Linked DNA regions of Sus scrofa. The protein of the gene in region 2 purifies or fractionates together with the protein of the main gene of each other region. This does not show direct contact. Links are inferred from orthologs where the notes say so. Each region holds a gene or a part of one and is shown on either strand. Other genes may lie near its edges.

Region 1 (4,222 bases), on a different chromosome or scaffold from region 2:
CAGCTACAGCAACACCAGATCCGAGCATCGCCTGCAACTTACTGGACAGCTCATGGCAATGCTGGATCCTTAACCCAGTGAGCAATGCCAGGGATCGAACCTGTGTCCTCATGGATGCTAGTCAGATTGGTTTCTGCTGAATCAAGATGGGACCTCCAAAGATGAATATTTAACTTAGTATTTCTTCTTGAAATGAAGTTCATGGTGTGGTGTATTTATAGTCAGAATGATTCTGGGGAAAGTCAGCTGCATCAGCCATTTGGCATTTGTTGAACGTTTGTGCAAAGCATATGAGAGACTTGGAATTTTTAAATTTATTTTAAAGGCCTACTTTGAAGACTTTTTTTTTTTTTTTTTTTTTTTTTTTTTGGTCTTTTTGTCTTTTCTAGGGCCTCACCTGTGGCGTATGGAGGTTCCCAGGCTAGGGATCCCATCAGAGCTATAGCTGCCGGCCTACGCCAGAGCCACAGCAATGCCAGATCTGAGCTGCGTCTTCAACCTGCACCACAGCTCACAGCAGTGCCGGATCCTTAACCCACTGAGTGAGGCCAGGGATCAAACCTGCAACCTTGTGGTTCCTAGTCAGATTCATTAATCACTGAGCCATGATGGGAACCCTGAAGACTTTAAGGGAGGTGATCACAGTTTAGGAGCCTACCAATTATGACAATTTCTCTGTAGAATTTTCTGTCCAAGACAGGGTTTTTACTTTCATTTGAATGGGTTATTTTTGTTGTGTCTTCTGGAATATTGCTTTTCACAGTGAACCTCCCTGGGTATTACCCAAAAGTCCTATTCAGAGAGCTTAAGAGATAAAGCTTATTGTGTAAAAATTTTCCAATACAGTCTCAGTTCACTGTTTTAATTTTGCTAATGTATGTTTCCCCCATGTGGAAATTAGTAAGAATATAATTTGTATGTGTTTGAACAGCTTGATCAGGGGTCTTGTTTTGGACCATGGGGCACGGCATCCGGACATGAAAAAGAGAGTAGAAGATGCATACATCCTCACGTGCAATGTGTCATTGGAATATGAAAAAACGTGAGTTTATAGCTCCTTAAAGATGAAAGGAGGGTGGAGGAGCTTGGTATATGGGGCAAGTCACTTTTTTTGGGAGACTCGGTTTCCCCACTGTAGGACAGTAATGCCTCAGTCAAAAAAGTATGGGAAATAGCCTCTGAAAACATACGGGGGGTGGGGGGGTGTGGAGCTCAGTGACTATTTGCTAAAGCTCAGGACTGACTCAGTTTCTAAGGCTGCTGGCTTATTGTCTACTCAAAAAATAAATACTTTCCTCTGATTTTTGTAATTTCTTTTTTTAGAGAAGTGAATTCTGGCTTTTTTTATAAGAGTGCAGAAGAGAGAGAGAAACTAGTAAGAGCTGAAAGAAAATTCATTGAAGATAGAGTTAAGAAAATAGTAGAGTTGAAGAAGAAAGTATGTGGTGATTCAGATAAAGGATTTGTTGTTATTAATCAAAAGGTGAGAAATTTTGCTTTATAAATTAGTCTGCTTTTATTTTAAGGTGAATTATATTGAAGCTTACTTTTATTCTTATAGGGAATTGACCCCTTTTCCTTAGATGCTCTTGCAAAAGAAGGCATAGTAGCTCTACGTAGAGCTAAGAGGAGAAACATGGAAAGGTACGGACAGCAGGTTATCTGTGACCTGAATTTCACTTATTTTGCAAGTTAACTTGGATTATTGCTTTCCCCCCTTCATATTTTTGTGGGGTTTTTTGTTTGGTTTGGTTTGGTTTTTGTTTTGACACTCCTGTAGCATGTGGAAGTTCCCAGATGAGGGATCAAACCTGAGCCACTCCAGTGACGACACAGGATCCTTAGCCCACTGTGCCACAGGAGAACTCCTGTTCTTGTGGTTTTCTGATTTTTTTTTTTATTGCAATGAAATGTACGTAATATAAAATATGTCATTTTACCTGTGGGGTTTTTTGTGTTGTTGTTGTTTTTTGCTTTTTAGTGCCACACCTGTGGCATATAGAAGTTCCCAGGCCTAGGGGTCGAATCGGAGCTACAGCTGCCGGCCTACACCACAGCCACAGCCATGCCAGATCTGAGCCGCGTCTTCGACCTACACCACAGTTTATGGCAATGCCAGATCCTTAACCCGCTGATCAGGGCCAGGGTTCAAACCCGCAACTTCATGATCCCTACTCAGATTCGTTTCCGCTGTGTCATGACAGGAACTCCTTACCTGTGTTTTAAAATGTGCAATTCTTTGTCATTAAATTACATTCAGGAGTTACCTGGTGTTGCAGCAGGTTAAGAATCCAGCGTTGGTGTTCCTGTTGTGGCTTAGCAGTAGTCAACCCAACTAGTATCCATGAGGATGCACATTCGATCTCAGGCCCTGCTCAGTGGGTTAAGGATCTGGTGTTGCTGTGAGCTGTGATGTAGGTTACAGATGGAGCTTGGATCCAGTGTGGCTGTGGCACAGGCTGGCAGGTGGAGCTGCAGCTCTGATTCAACCCCCAGCCTGGGAACTTCCATATGCCTGAGCCACAGTTGTGGCCCTGAAAAGCAGAAGCACATTCACAGTGTTGTACAACCATTGTTCATTTCAAGAACTTTTTCCCTTGTAAGCTGAAAGTCTGTACTCAATAACTGCATACCCTCTCTAGTAAATACTATTCCATTTTCTGTCTCTCTAAATTTGGTACATGGTGTAAGGGAATCATGAGGTATTTATCCTTTTGCGTGGCTTATTTCACCTGGCATAATCTTTTCAAAATTTATGTTGTAGCCTGTATCGGGATCTCTTTATTTTGTTTATTCATTTATCTGTCAATGGACATTTATTTTGTCCTTCTACCTTTTGGCTGTTGTGAGTAGTGCTGCTATGAGTGTTGATATATACTTGTGGTTTTTTTGTTTCATTTTTTGTTTGTTTTGTTTTTTAGGGCTGCACCCTCAGCATGTGGAAGTTCCCAGGCTAGGGGTCGAATCAGAGCTACAGCTTCCAGCCTGCACCACAGCTCACAGCAACACCAGATCCCCGACCCACTAAGCAAGGCCTGGGATTGAACCCACATCCTCTTGGATACTAGTCAGATATGTTTCTGCTGAGCCATGATGGGAACTCTTCTACTCATTTTTAAATCATGACCTGTACTGTACGTAATTTCACATGTCCAGAGACAGCATCAAGGATTTTTGGAGAAGTACTTTCTCCCAAAGAGCTTACCATGGTGGATAGCTCTTGTGAACCTTTGAATTCAAAGCAGTATTTGCTCCTCTGAATTGACTTGGGTAACATGGTTAAATGGAGAGTTAGGAGAAAAGACCAGTTTTTAACTGGTTCCTGGTGAATGGAAAAGCATAAGCTAAAATATATTTTAAAATATGCTTATAGGACTTCCTATTGTGGCTCAGAGGTTTAAGAAAACCTGACTAGTGTCCATGAGGGTGTGGGTTAGATCCTTGGCCTTGCTCAGTGGCTTAAGGATCCTGTGTTGCCGCAAGCTGCAGCATGGGTCGAAAATGCGGATTGGATCCTGTGTTGCTGTGGCTGTGGTGTAGGCCTGGGAACTTCTGTATGCCACAGGTGGCCCTAAAAAAAAAAAAAAAAAAAATACGCTTTTAGTATATAATTTCGAAGAAGATTGCTTTTTAAAAGTTACTAATCTTTTTAAGTGTAACTAACAATGTCACCTCTGCATCTCCCTTAAACACTTGAATATTCCAGGCTGACTCTTGCTTGTGGTGGGGTAGCCCTAAATTCTCTTGATGACCTAAATCCTGATTGTTTGGGACATGCAGGACTTGTCTATGAATATACATTGGTAAGTGTATTTTCTTTTCAAGGGTAATACTACTTTTCTGTTCATGAATTCTTCAGTACTTAAAAATTCATTCAGGGTTTCCTTTGTGGGTCAGAGGTTAATGAACCAGACTAAGACCCATGAGGACGTGGGTTCCATCCCTGGCCTCAATCAGTGGGTTAAGGATCCGGTGTTGCCGTGAGCTGTGGTGTAGGTCACAGACGGGGCTCAGATCCTGTGTGGCTGTGGCTGTGGCGTAGGTTGGCAGCTGTAGCTCCAATTCCACCCCTAGTCTGGGAATCTCCATATGCTGCAGGTGCAGCCCTAAAATAGCACCCAAAAAAAAAAAAAAAAAAATCAAACTCAAGATGAGATTTTGCTTTGTTGACATACATTTTGATGGTTTATATATAGTAGTAATAAGCCACTGATGGGGAAAA
Region 2 (4,911 bases):
TTCTCAAAGTCTCCCCTTAGATTTACATTGCCGCGACCTAAAAACCCTTGACTTCCATCCCAAGAGCTCTTCACTTCCCAAGTGAACTGTATCTCCATCCACCCCACTGGCTTCGCAGTCCCACAAAATATACTTCAACTCCACCCATCTCTCTCTCTCCTGATGCCACCCCAGCCCAAGCCAGCATCGTTTCTCGCCTGGACTATGACAAACTGCGTCTTAACAGAGTCTCCACTCTTGACCACTCACAGTCCATCAGAATTCCCTGGTGGCCTGGTGGTTAAGGATCTGGCATTGCTACTGCAGTGGCACGGGTTCAATCCTGGGCTTGGGAACTTTCATGTGCAGCCAAAATAAATGAGTAAATAAACTTCAACTATCATTTCACTCTTTTATTTTTTATTTTTCTTTTTATGGCCACACCTGTGGCATATGGAAGTTCCCAGGCTAGGGCTCACATTGGAGCCACAGCTGCTCGCCTACACCACAGCCACAGCAACGCCAGATCTGAGCCACATTTTCGAATTATGCGTGCAGCTCATGGCAACGCCGGATCCTTTAACCCACTGAGCAAAGCCAGGGATGGCACCCACCTCCTCATGGATCCTAGTCTGGTTCTTAACCCACTGAGCCACAATGGGAACTCCCAACACTCTTCTCTTTTAAAACTCTCCCATGGCTTCCCAGAGGCACTCCGAAGGCCCCACCCACAAGATCTGGCATCAGGCATGGTGGCCTTCTTTCTGTTCCTTGAACACATGAAGTTCTTTCCCAGCTCTGGGTTCTCTGGGTTGTTGTAGCATCTCTGCCCCCTTCTTTTTTTTTTTTTTTGTCTTTTCTAGGGCCGCTCCCTCGGCATATGGAGGTTCCCAGGCTAGGGGTCGAATCAGAGCTGTAGCTGCCAGCCCACGCCACAGCCATAGCAATGCGGGATCCAAGCCGCATCTGCAACCTACACCACAGCTCACCGCAACGCCAAATCCTTAACCCACTGAGCAAGGCCAGGGATCGAACCCGCAACCTCATGGTTCCTAGTCGGATTTGTTAACCACTGCGCCACGACGGGAATTCCCACATCTCTGCCTCTTTGTGGAGCACTCTTTCTATACCTCTTCACATGCCGATCTTGTCATCCTTCAGGTCTTAGCTCAAATGTTTCCTTTTCAGAGAACTCCTCCCCAGCCACTTTATTTAAAGTGGTATCCTCTGGTTAATCTCTCCTCATTCTGTTTACTTCCTTCACGGTATATATATATATATATATATTTTTTTTTTTTAAAGCCCGCACCTGTGGCCTATGCAGGTTCCCAGGCTAGGGGTCGAATCGGAGCTACAGCTGCCGGCCATAACCACAGCCACAGCCATGCAGTATCCGAGCCGCATCTGTGACCTACATCACAGCTCTCGGCAATGCCAGATCCCTCACCCACTGAGCAAGGCCAGGGATTGAACCTGCAACCTCATGGTTCCTAGCTGGATTCATTCCCATTGCGGTATTTAACAAATACCCCTTCATGGTATTTGTTAAACTCAATAATGAACTTGACTGCTTATTGGGTAACATGTTTCCCACACAAGAAAGCAAACCAGTTCTTCATCTGTCTCGTTCATCACTTCACCCCAACACCAAACACAGTAGGTGGCATATTAGTGGTCATTCAATAAATATCTGAAAGTCAATTAAAAACTACGGAGAGAAATCCACTACTCCTTTATGGAAAACATATATTCCTAATGAAAGATAAGCCAAATATCACTTTAAATGACTTCGGAACTGACGGCCGAAAATGCTACCTGTGGAAACTCACGGTGAAAAAATACCCTGTTTGTGACAGGAAACATGTGGACTGTACTTTCTCCATCTACAGGCAGGACTTAAAAGTGCCCTGGCTGAGGAAGGGGCAGTTAGTCCCTACCCTTACCATTTCTGCGTATTCCAGCTGCTCCCCCTCACTGTACAGCTCTGGGGGCAGGTTATAAATCCGCAGGACGTTATCAGCACTATTGGTCAGGATGCAGGAACCATCAGGGGCCCTAGGAGTAGGAGAGAGAAGCCTGGATAGACCTGTATCTTGCGAGTGTTGGGCTTGAGCTGAGCAGACCTGTGGCAGAGGTGAGCCCCCTCCTCATCCTTACTTACCACTTACAGCCTTTCAAGAAGTTCTCAGGTTGGGTGCTGAACTCTGACCAGGAACCGCTAAGAAACCGGGGTAGCTGCGAGAAGCTGTAGTTCCAAGTGCTGGAAGGAAGATGGGGAAGACAAACCTGGGTCGCCAAAGCCAAGGAGAAATGGGCCTGGAGAAGTGGGGCTGAGGACTGGCGGATGAGATATATCTCACATTTCCAACCTCCTCAGATTCCTGAGCCAACTGCCATCAGCACTTACGTGTATCCCTCATCCTCTGGAGCGGGTTCCTCAGACACATCTTCCATGTCTTCTCCCGGCCCCAACTCTGGCTTGTTCGTTTCTTCTGCAGGAAGGCTCACTTTTTCAGAAAGTTCTTGCTCCTCGATTCGAGGGCTCAACTCACTAGGAGTATCAAACTCAGCTTCCAACGGAGTGGAGAGAGAAGCTGGGTCCCCTTCCCCCAGCTCCTGGGACACGGCCGAGCCAGCTCCAGGATCCGGGGATATCCGGGGCGCATCATCCCCATCGGGTGGCGGTGGCGTCTGTTCAGGGTTCGTATTTTTATCCATCGAGGAAGCCTGAGGAGAGAGACGGGCTGCAGCTGGGGCCTGGTCTGAAGGAAGGCAGTCCGGAGCTAACACTGGCGCCTCCGGGGTCTTCATACTGCAGAGGAAGCACGGCAAACATTGGCCGCGGCCAGGCAATCCTCTTCCCGCCGGCTACCAGCTGCCGGGCCTGCGGAACGGCAGAGACCGCCGTAAGTTCGCACGGATCCGGACGCAGAACTGGAGAAACCCAGCAGTGCCTTCTTTCTGCTCCCGGGATAGGACAGAAAACAGCCCCCCGCCCCCAGGCCTCGCGAGGCGAGGCGGGCGAACAGGAATGTTGGAGAGCTCGGCGATCCTTAGCCCTGTCGGTGGCTACGCGCCACCTGTTCTCGCGGGATTTGGGCCCACCATTCGATTGGACCTCCGCATCCCGGATCAGACTTCGCGGGCGACCCACAAGAGGGGCGGGGCAGGGACGTAACAGGTCACGGGTTACCGTTCCCCTCCAGTCCTGAATCTCCTAGTGCCTGCTGGGACTTGTAGTCCGAGAGCTTCTGAGTCAGGGAGATGTGTCTGAGCTCCTCGCGCTATCATTCTTCAAGCACCTACTCCCCTCCCCACCTGCAGAGGGCGCGAGCGCTATATTTGTTTTTACGGGGTTTGAACCTGTTTTGCATCTCAACTCCTCAGACCTCCGTCTCTTTTCATTCATTCAATAAATATTTATCATTGAGCTCTTCTTTGCTACCCAGTACTGTACTGGAAAAGACAAGAATGAATAAGATAGTAGGCAAGGTCTCTGCTCTCCTAACGCTTAGGTTGCTGTGTATTGAAGGCAAGGAACAAATTATTTCAAAACGTGATAGGGTCTAGGAAGGAAATTAAACAAGACAGTGTGATACAACGTAACTAGGAGAATACGTTAGCTTGGAACATTAAGGAAGGTCTTCCTAAAAATTGACATTTTAGCTAATGAGGAACTATCCAGCCATCTGGGAGAGCAGAGTTCCAGGCAAAAGGTGCAAAGGCTGTCTTTCTTTCACCTTCATGTCTGACTCGGGGACAAGTCTTTCAAAATGGTTTCCACCAATTCTGTTCTCACAGATCTGGGTTGTCGAATTTCTTCACCGCAAACTGTCAGTAGCTACAAAACCAACACAGCAGGAATCCTGACTCCCCTCACCCTCACCACCTCCGTCCGTCGCCACCGCCCGCAGGGTAATTGCTTGCCCTTACTTGTCATGGCGACTTTGTGCCAGGAGTCTCGCGATGGTTGCTGGGATTGGGATTTTCCCCTCCCATGTGCTCGGACTGGCGCTAAAAGTTTTGAGCTCCTCAAAAGTCCAGGGCCACCATCCTTGGCGCAGGTAGCTGCTGGTCTCCGGGGTCACCTGACGTCCCGTCTCGAGCGTGCATCCCAGGACAGTGACACGCTCTCCTGAGCTTCGGGTAAGCTCTTAACTGAGCCTGATGAATACTCTATGAGTCATGGGCTCTCGGGTCTGTGTATTTTCAGCTCAGAAGAAAGGAGGATGGAGGTGGAGCGAAAGATTTAGTGATTTGGGGGGGGGGGGGAAATGGAAGTTCTTCTAGCGGCATCAACAGAGGAATGCAATGTTGGGAGGCCTGAGTGTAGATGATAGGGATGTTAGGACCAACCGAACTAAAAAGCTGAACACCTGCGCCGGGTAGTGGGGCTTTGGGGAAAACTTGAGCCTGCCTAAGGGGTTCTTCCCCACCACCGCCACCACCCCATTTCAGTACCCGGTGTGGGGGAGCCCTTAATAAGACACACAAAGCATCAAGGTCCGAGGCTTTGGGATCTTGGAACTTTGGGGATTTATGGCTCGAGATTTTAGTGCGTATGGCATCCCAGTGGAACCCTGGACTCCATTCCGAAGTGGTTATCCGGAGTGCTCCGGGAAGTCCAAGGTGCTAACTTCCGGACCTTTGTCCTTTCTTGAGTGAACTTTCCAACTGGCCTTCAGCGCCTCAGGATGGAGAAAGTCCATTTAAAGGCTGTCAGTTGTGGAAATGGGACATGCTAAACAAGAGGTTTGCCCGCGAAGCCTCGGAGGAGTAACCCGGCCGGAGAGGCCCGGGAGCCCTGTTATTGTTTGGCTCTGCATTTACATTTCTGCCACTCGCAGGAGCATTTCCGGTTTCTTTTCTTCGGAACAGCCCACTATTCACCCGATGTGAGGGAAGTAGAAAGAGAAAAGGTCTTTTAAACTG
Region 3 (4,222 bases), on a different chromosome or scaffold from region 2:
CAGTGAACTGTGAGAAATACACTATTGGGGAGTTCCCATCGTGGCTCAGTGGTTAACGAATCTGACTAGGAACAATGAGGTTGCAGGTTTGATCGCTGGCCTTGCTCAGCGGGTTAAGGATCTGGTGTTGCCGTGAGCTGTTGTGTAGGTCGCATACGCAGCTCGGATCCTGCATTGCTGTGGCTGTGGTGTAGGCTGGCAGATGTAGCTCCAATTCAACCCCTAGCCTGGGAACCTCCATATGCCGCAGAAGTGGTCCAAGAAATGGCAAAAAAAAATAAAAAATTAAAAAAAAATCAAAGAAATACACTGTTGTCTATAAGCCACCTGGTCCAGAGTATTTTGTTATAGCAGCTCAACGGATGAAGGTGCCCTCTAAGCACTTTTTAGGGGTCAAGGGAGGAAGGGAAGCCAGTACTGACCGTCACGGTTGTCTCCAGAGTCTATGGTCCTGTCCACGTTTAGTTCTCTCTCCCTCTCTGTGAGGGCCTGGGTTCCCTCTCTCTGTGTCTGGGTGGCTTCCCCTGGAGCGCCTGTGTCCACCGCCACATCTGCTAGGTGCTCTCTTGAGACAAGGGGAAGGTCCTGCCCCACCTGTGCCCTGGCTGACACACTCTGGGCCCCGGCCCCAAGAGCTCGGTCCTGTTCAAGAATGGCTACAGCCCACTCCGTCCCAGCATCCCCTTCTGCCAGAAGCTGGCTCTTTCTGACGTCTGCCCCAGCTGAGGCTGCTAAGGACGTGTTCTTTTCCACATCTGGTTCATGGCCCCCAGCTGGAGGAGGGCGGGCTTCCGCTGGATGCACCACAGGCAGCTTTGCTGGGTCGCCTTCTGCCTCCACATCTGTTTGAGGTGTCCATGCCACAGGCACCTGATGCTTCTCTGAAAGTGTAACAGCTGGCCTTGGTGGGGCTTTCTCCTCCACTTGGGTGATGGCGTCCACAGTGGCAGAGGCTTGGCTTCTCCCTGGGTGGACTCCAGGTGAGCGCTCATCTTCCTCCACCTTCACGTCACTGCCCCTGAGAGGAGGCTGGCTCTTTTCTGGATGGGCCTTGTCTGCAGGACCCTTGGGGAGACTTCCTCTCTTTTCTAGGGGGAGCCCCTCTTCTTCCATGTCTGTGTCACTGTCTCTCCCAGCAGAGGCCTGGCTTTGATCCAGAAGGGCCACAGGTTGGGCCCTGTGGTCTCCTGCACCTGCATCTCTGTTCCATGGAACAGCCTGGCTCTCTCTCAGACGTGCCAGAGTGAGCGCCGCTGAGACTTCTTCCTCGTCATCCATGTTGCTGTCGATCATCATGGAGGCTCGGCTGCTGTCCAGAGGGACCGTCCGGGGGGCCTCTCCCTCCTCTATATCTGTATCACTACCAGCCGGGCTCTCCTGTGCATGTGCCACGCCAGGTGCCTGGGGGCTCTCTGTCCCAACTTCATGGAAGATCTGCCTCTTCTTCACGGGAACTACTGCTGGGGTGGCGGGGATCCCCTCTTCTTCCGCATCAGTATCACTGTCTATGAAGCCACAAGGCTGGGCCCTTTCTGAATGGGCTCCAGCTGGCCTCCGTGGAAGCCCACTCCCCTCATCCACATCTGTGTCACTGTCCTCCCCAGCAGGCTGGCTCCTCTCCAGAATCGCCCCAACTGGAACCACCCCATTGCTGGCAGCCCTCTTAACTCTTGCGTCCTTGTGCTTCTCCTTCACTGGACACTGGTCCTTTATGAGCTGGATTTCGGTTGTGACAGGTTTAGGCTGTTCTGTCTCTGCAGCTGAGGGAGCCTCTCCTGCTCCTGGTTGCTGACTTTCTTCCTCATCCGTGTCACTGTTCAAGTTGAAGGCAAAAGGTGGTCCAGGGCCATCTGGGGCGGGGGAAGGCCCCTCTTCATCACTGTGAAGGGAGGAGAAGAGAGAGAGTCTACAGAATCTATTTCTCCAGAAGGGAAACCCCACTCAACTGGGAGCTCCTCGAGAGCAGACATGAGGTAGTATTTGCTTTTCGTTTCTTTTTCTTTTTTTTCAGGTCATACCTGTAGCATATGGAAGTTCCTGGACTAAGGGTTGAATTGGAGCTGGAGCTGCCAGCCTATATTATAGCCACAGCAATGCTGGATCCTTAACCCATTGAGAGAGACCATGGATTGAACCCACATCCTCATGGACACTGTGTCAGGTTCTTAACCTGCTGAGCCACAATGGGAATTCCAGTATTTGCTTTTCTATCTCCAGCCATTCGTTTTCCACTTGGCACATCAGAGGTGATCAATAAAAATTCAGTTGAGTGAGAAGTTCCTTCTATGGCTCAGCAGGTTAAGAATCCAACTAGTATTCATGAGGATGTGGTTTTGATCCCCGCCCTTGATCAGTAGGTTAAGGATCCAGGGTTTCTGTGAGCTGTGGTATAGGTTGCAGACGTGGCTTGGATCCAGCATTGCTCCATATGCCACAGGTGCAACCCTAAAAAGAAACAAATAAAACTAAGTTGAATGAAAGAATATGAGGAGTTTCCCAGCCCTGACCTCCATGAGCTCTCTTGGATCCTCCAGCCCTTGGTTCCACCGTTTTTTTTTAAAGGGCTGCAGGTGCAACATGTGGAAATTCCTAGCCTAGGAGTTGAATCAGAGCTGCAGCTGCTGCCTACGCCACAGCCACGTGGATTCAAGCTGCATCTGCCACCTACACCACATCTTATGGCAACGCCAGATCCTTAACTCAGTGAGTGAGGCCAGGGATTGAACCAGCATCCTCATGGATCCTAGTTGGGTTCGTTTCCACTGAGCCACAGTGGGAACTCCTGTTCCTCCTCCTTTTGAGGACTCAGTTGTCTGGCCTCTGGCACTCACCTCTCTGGAATCACTGTTGTCAAAGAAGTCTTTGGTCCTTTCACCACACACCTTTCAGAAAGAGAATCTGTCAGGAGTAAAAAGGTTGATGATTTTACAGCCACCGTCCCCATCTCCTCACCTGCCCTCCCAATACTCGGACTTACCTACTTCCTCCTCTGAGTCCTCAGCCAACAGAAGCCTGTGCGGTTGAGTTCCTCCCTGTCCCCTGGGTGTCTCCTCTACAGTTAGAGGGCCCCGAGAGACCAAGGGCGGGGGGACATCCAAGCGATGGTACTGGCAGGGCAAGTCAGCAAAGAGAATCAACTCCCGGTTCCTCAAACGATGACTCACCCCAGGGCCCAGGACCTTGGGAGGCCTCAGGATCTGAGTGCCATTGAGGCTCCCACAGTCGCGGAGGACAGGCGCCTTGTTCCAGGCCAAGATTTCAATCACTGCATGTTGTTTGGAGATGGATGAAAAAGGCAGGGCCACAGAGCACTCGGGCATTCGGCCCACCACGTTCTTCCCAAGGTAGAGTGGGAAATCTAAGAATCAGAGAGGTAGAGAGGTTCCAAGGCCAGAGCCCTGACCTGCTATTAGGAAAACGTTCCTGTTAAGTCCCCCACTGCTCACTCAAGGCCCCCAAGTACATTAGGAAAACAAAAGATACCTAAGATAATTAGGTAATAAGGAATACATGCAATGCCTTATTTGTACTCAACACCTCATCCATCTATACTGATTTTTTTTTTTTTTCCTTTTTCTTTAATGGCCGCATCTGGGGTATATGGAAGTTCCCGGGCCAGGGACTGAATTCCAGCCGCAGCTGCAACCTATGCCACTGGTGTGGCAATGCTGGATCCTTTAACCTAATGTGCCATGGCCAGTGATCAAACCCGCCTCTCTGCAGTGACGCCAAACCACGACAGTCAGGATCTTTTTTTTTTTTTTTTTAAGGATCGCACCCACGGCATATGGAGGTTCCCAAGCTAGGGGTCAAATCGGAACTACAGCTGCCGGCCACAGCCATGCAGAACCCAAGCGGTGTCTGGACCTACACCACAGCTCACAGCAACATCGGAACCCTAATCCACTGAGCAAGGGCAGGGATCGAACCCGCAACCTCATGGTTCCTAGTCGGATTCGTTAACCACTGCACCACAATGGGAACTCCTCCTGGCTTATTTTTTATTGTGGTAAAATATACATAAAATTTGCCATTTAGCCATTTTTAAGTGTACAGTTTAGTGACATTAAGTATATTCACACTGTTGTGCAAAACCTCGTCACTATCCATTTCAAGACTCACCGGGTTTTCACTTAAACCCCTTTATCTTCTCCCACCAAAGTAAAATCACCCCCATGGAGTCCAGGGCACTTGCCGAGAGCAATCAATTCAATCAATCCTT

Evidence for each region. Proteins that work in one complex are often made in the same cells at the same time.
Region 1: the proteins of WRAP53 (region 2) and CCT6A purify together in Homo sapiens (co-immunoprecipitation; 3 studies listed by BioGRID and IntAct, with this or other methods). This does not show direct contact. The link is inferred for Sus scrofa from reciprocal best matches to the Homo sapiens genes WRAP53 and CCT6A.
Region 3: the proteins of WRAP53 (region 2) and MDC1 purify together in Homo sapiens (affinity purification with western blotting, with the first as the bait; 3 studies listed by BioGRID). This does not show direct contact. The link is inferred for Sus scrofa from reciprocal best matches to the Homo sapiens genes WRAP53 and MDC1.

The regions. Positions count from the first base shown.
Region 1 is NC_010445.4:16,848,281-16,852,502, reverse strand, and holds part of CCT6A (T-complex protein 1 subunit zeta), read left to right. Parts: intron 1-931; coding exon 932-1,042; intron 1,043-1,323; coding exon 1,324-1,483; intron 1,484-1,561; coding exon 1,562-1,644; intron 1,645-3,706; coding exon 3,707-3,803; intron 3,804-4,222. UniProt on the Homo sapiens protein: Component of the chaperonin-containing T-complex (TRiC), a molecular chaperone complex that assists the folding of actin, tubulin and other proteins upon ATP hydrolysis.
Region 2 is NC_010454.4:52,952,889-52,957,799, reverse strand, and holds the start of WRAP53 (telomerase Cajal body protein 1), read right to left. Parts: upstream 3,127-4,911; 5' UTR 2,791-3,126; coding exon 2,387-2,790; intron 2,240-2,386; coding exon 2,141-2,239; intron 2,035-2,140; coding exon 1,923-2,034; intron 1-1,922. UniProt on the Homo sapiens protein: RNA chaperone that plays a key role in telomere maintenance and RNA localization to Cajal bodies. Specifically recognizes and binds the Cajal body box (CAB box) present in both small Cajal body RNAs (scaRNAs) and telomerase RNA template component (TERC).
Region 3 is NC_010449.5:23,239,023-23,243,244, forward strand, and holds part of MDC1 (mediator of DNA damage checkpoint protein 1), read right to left. Parts: intron 3,399-4,222; exon of another isoform or gene 3,359-3,398; coding exon 2,978-3,358; intron 2,899-2,977; coding exon 2,832-2,898; intron 1,880-2,831; coding exon 423-1,879; intron 1-422. UniProt on the Homo sapiens protein: Histone reader protein required for checkpoint-mediated cell cycle arrest in response to DNA damage within both the S phase and G2/M phases of the cell cycle.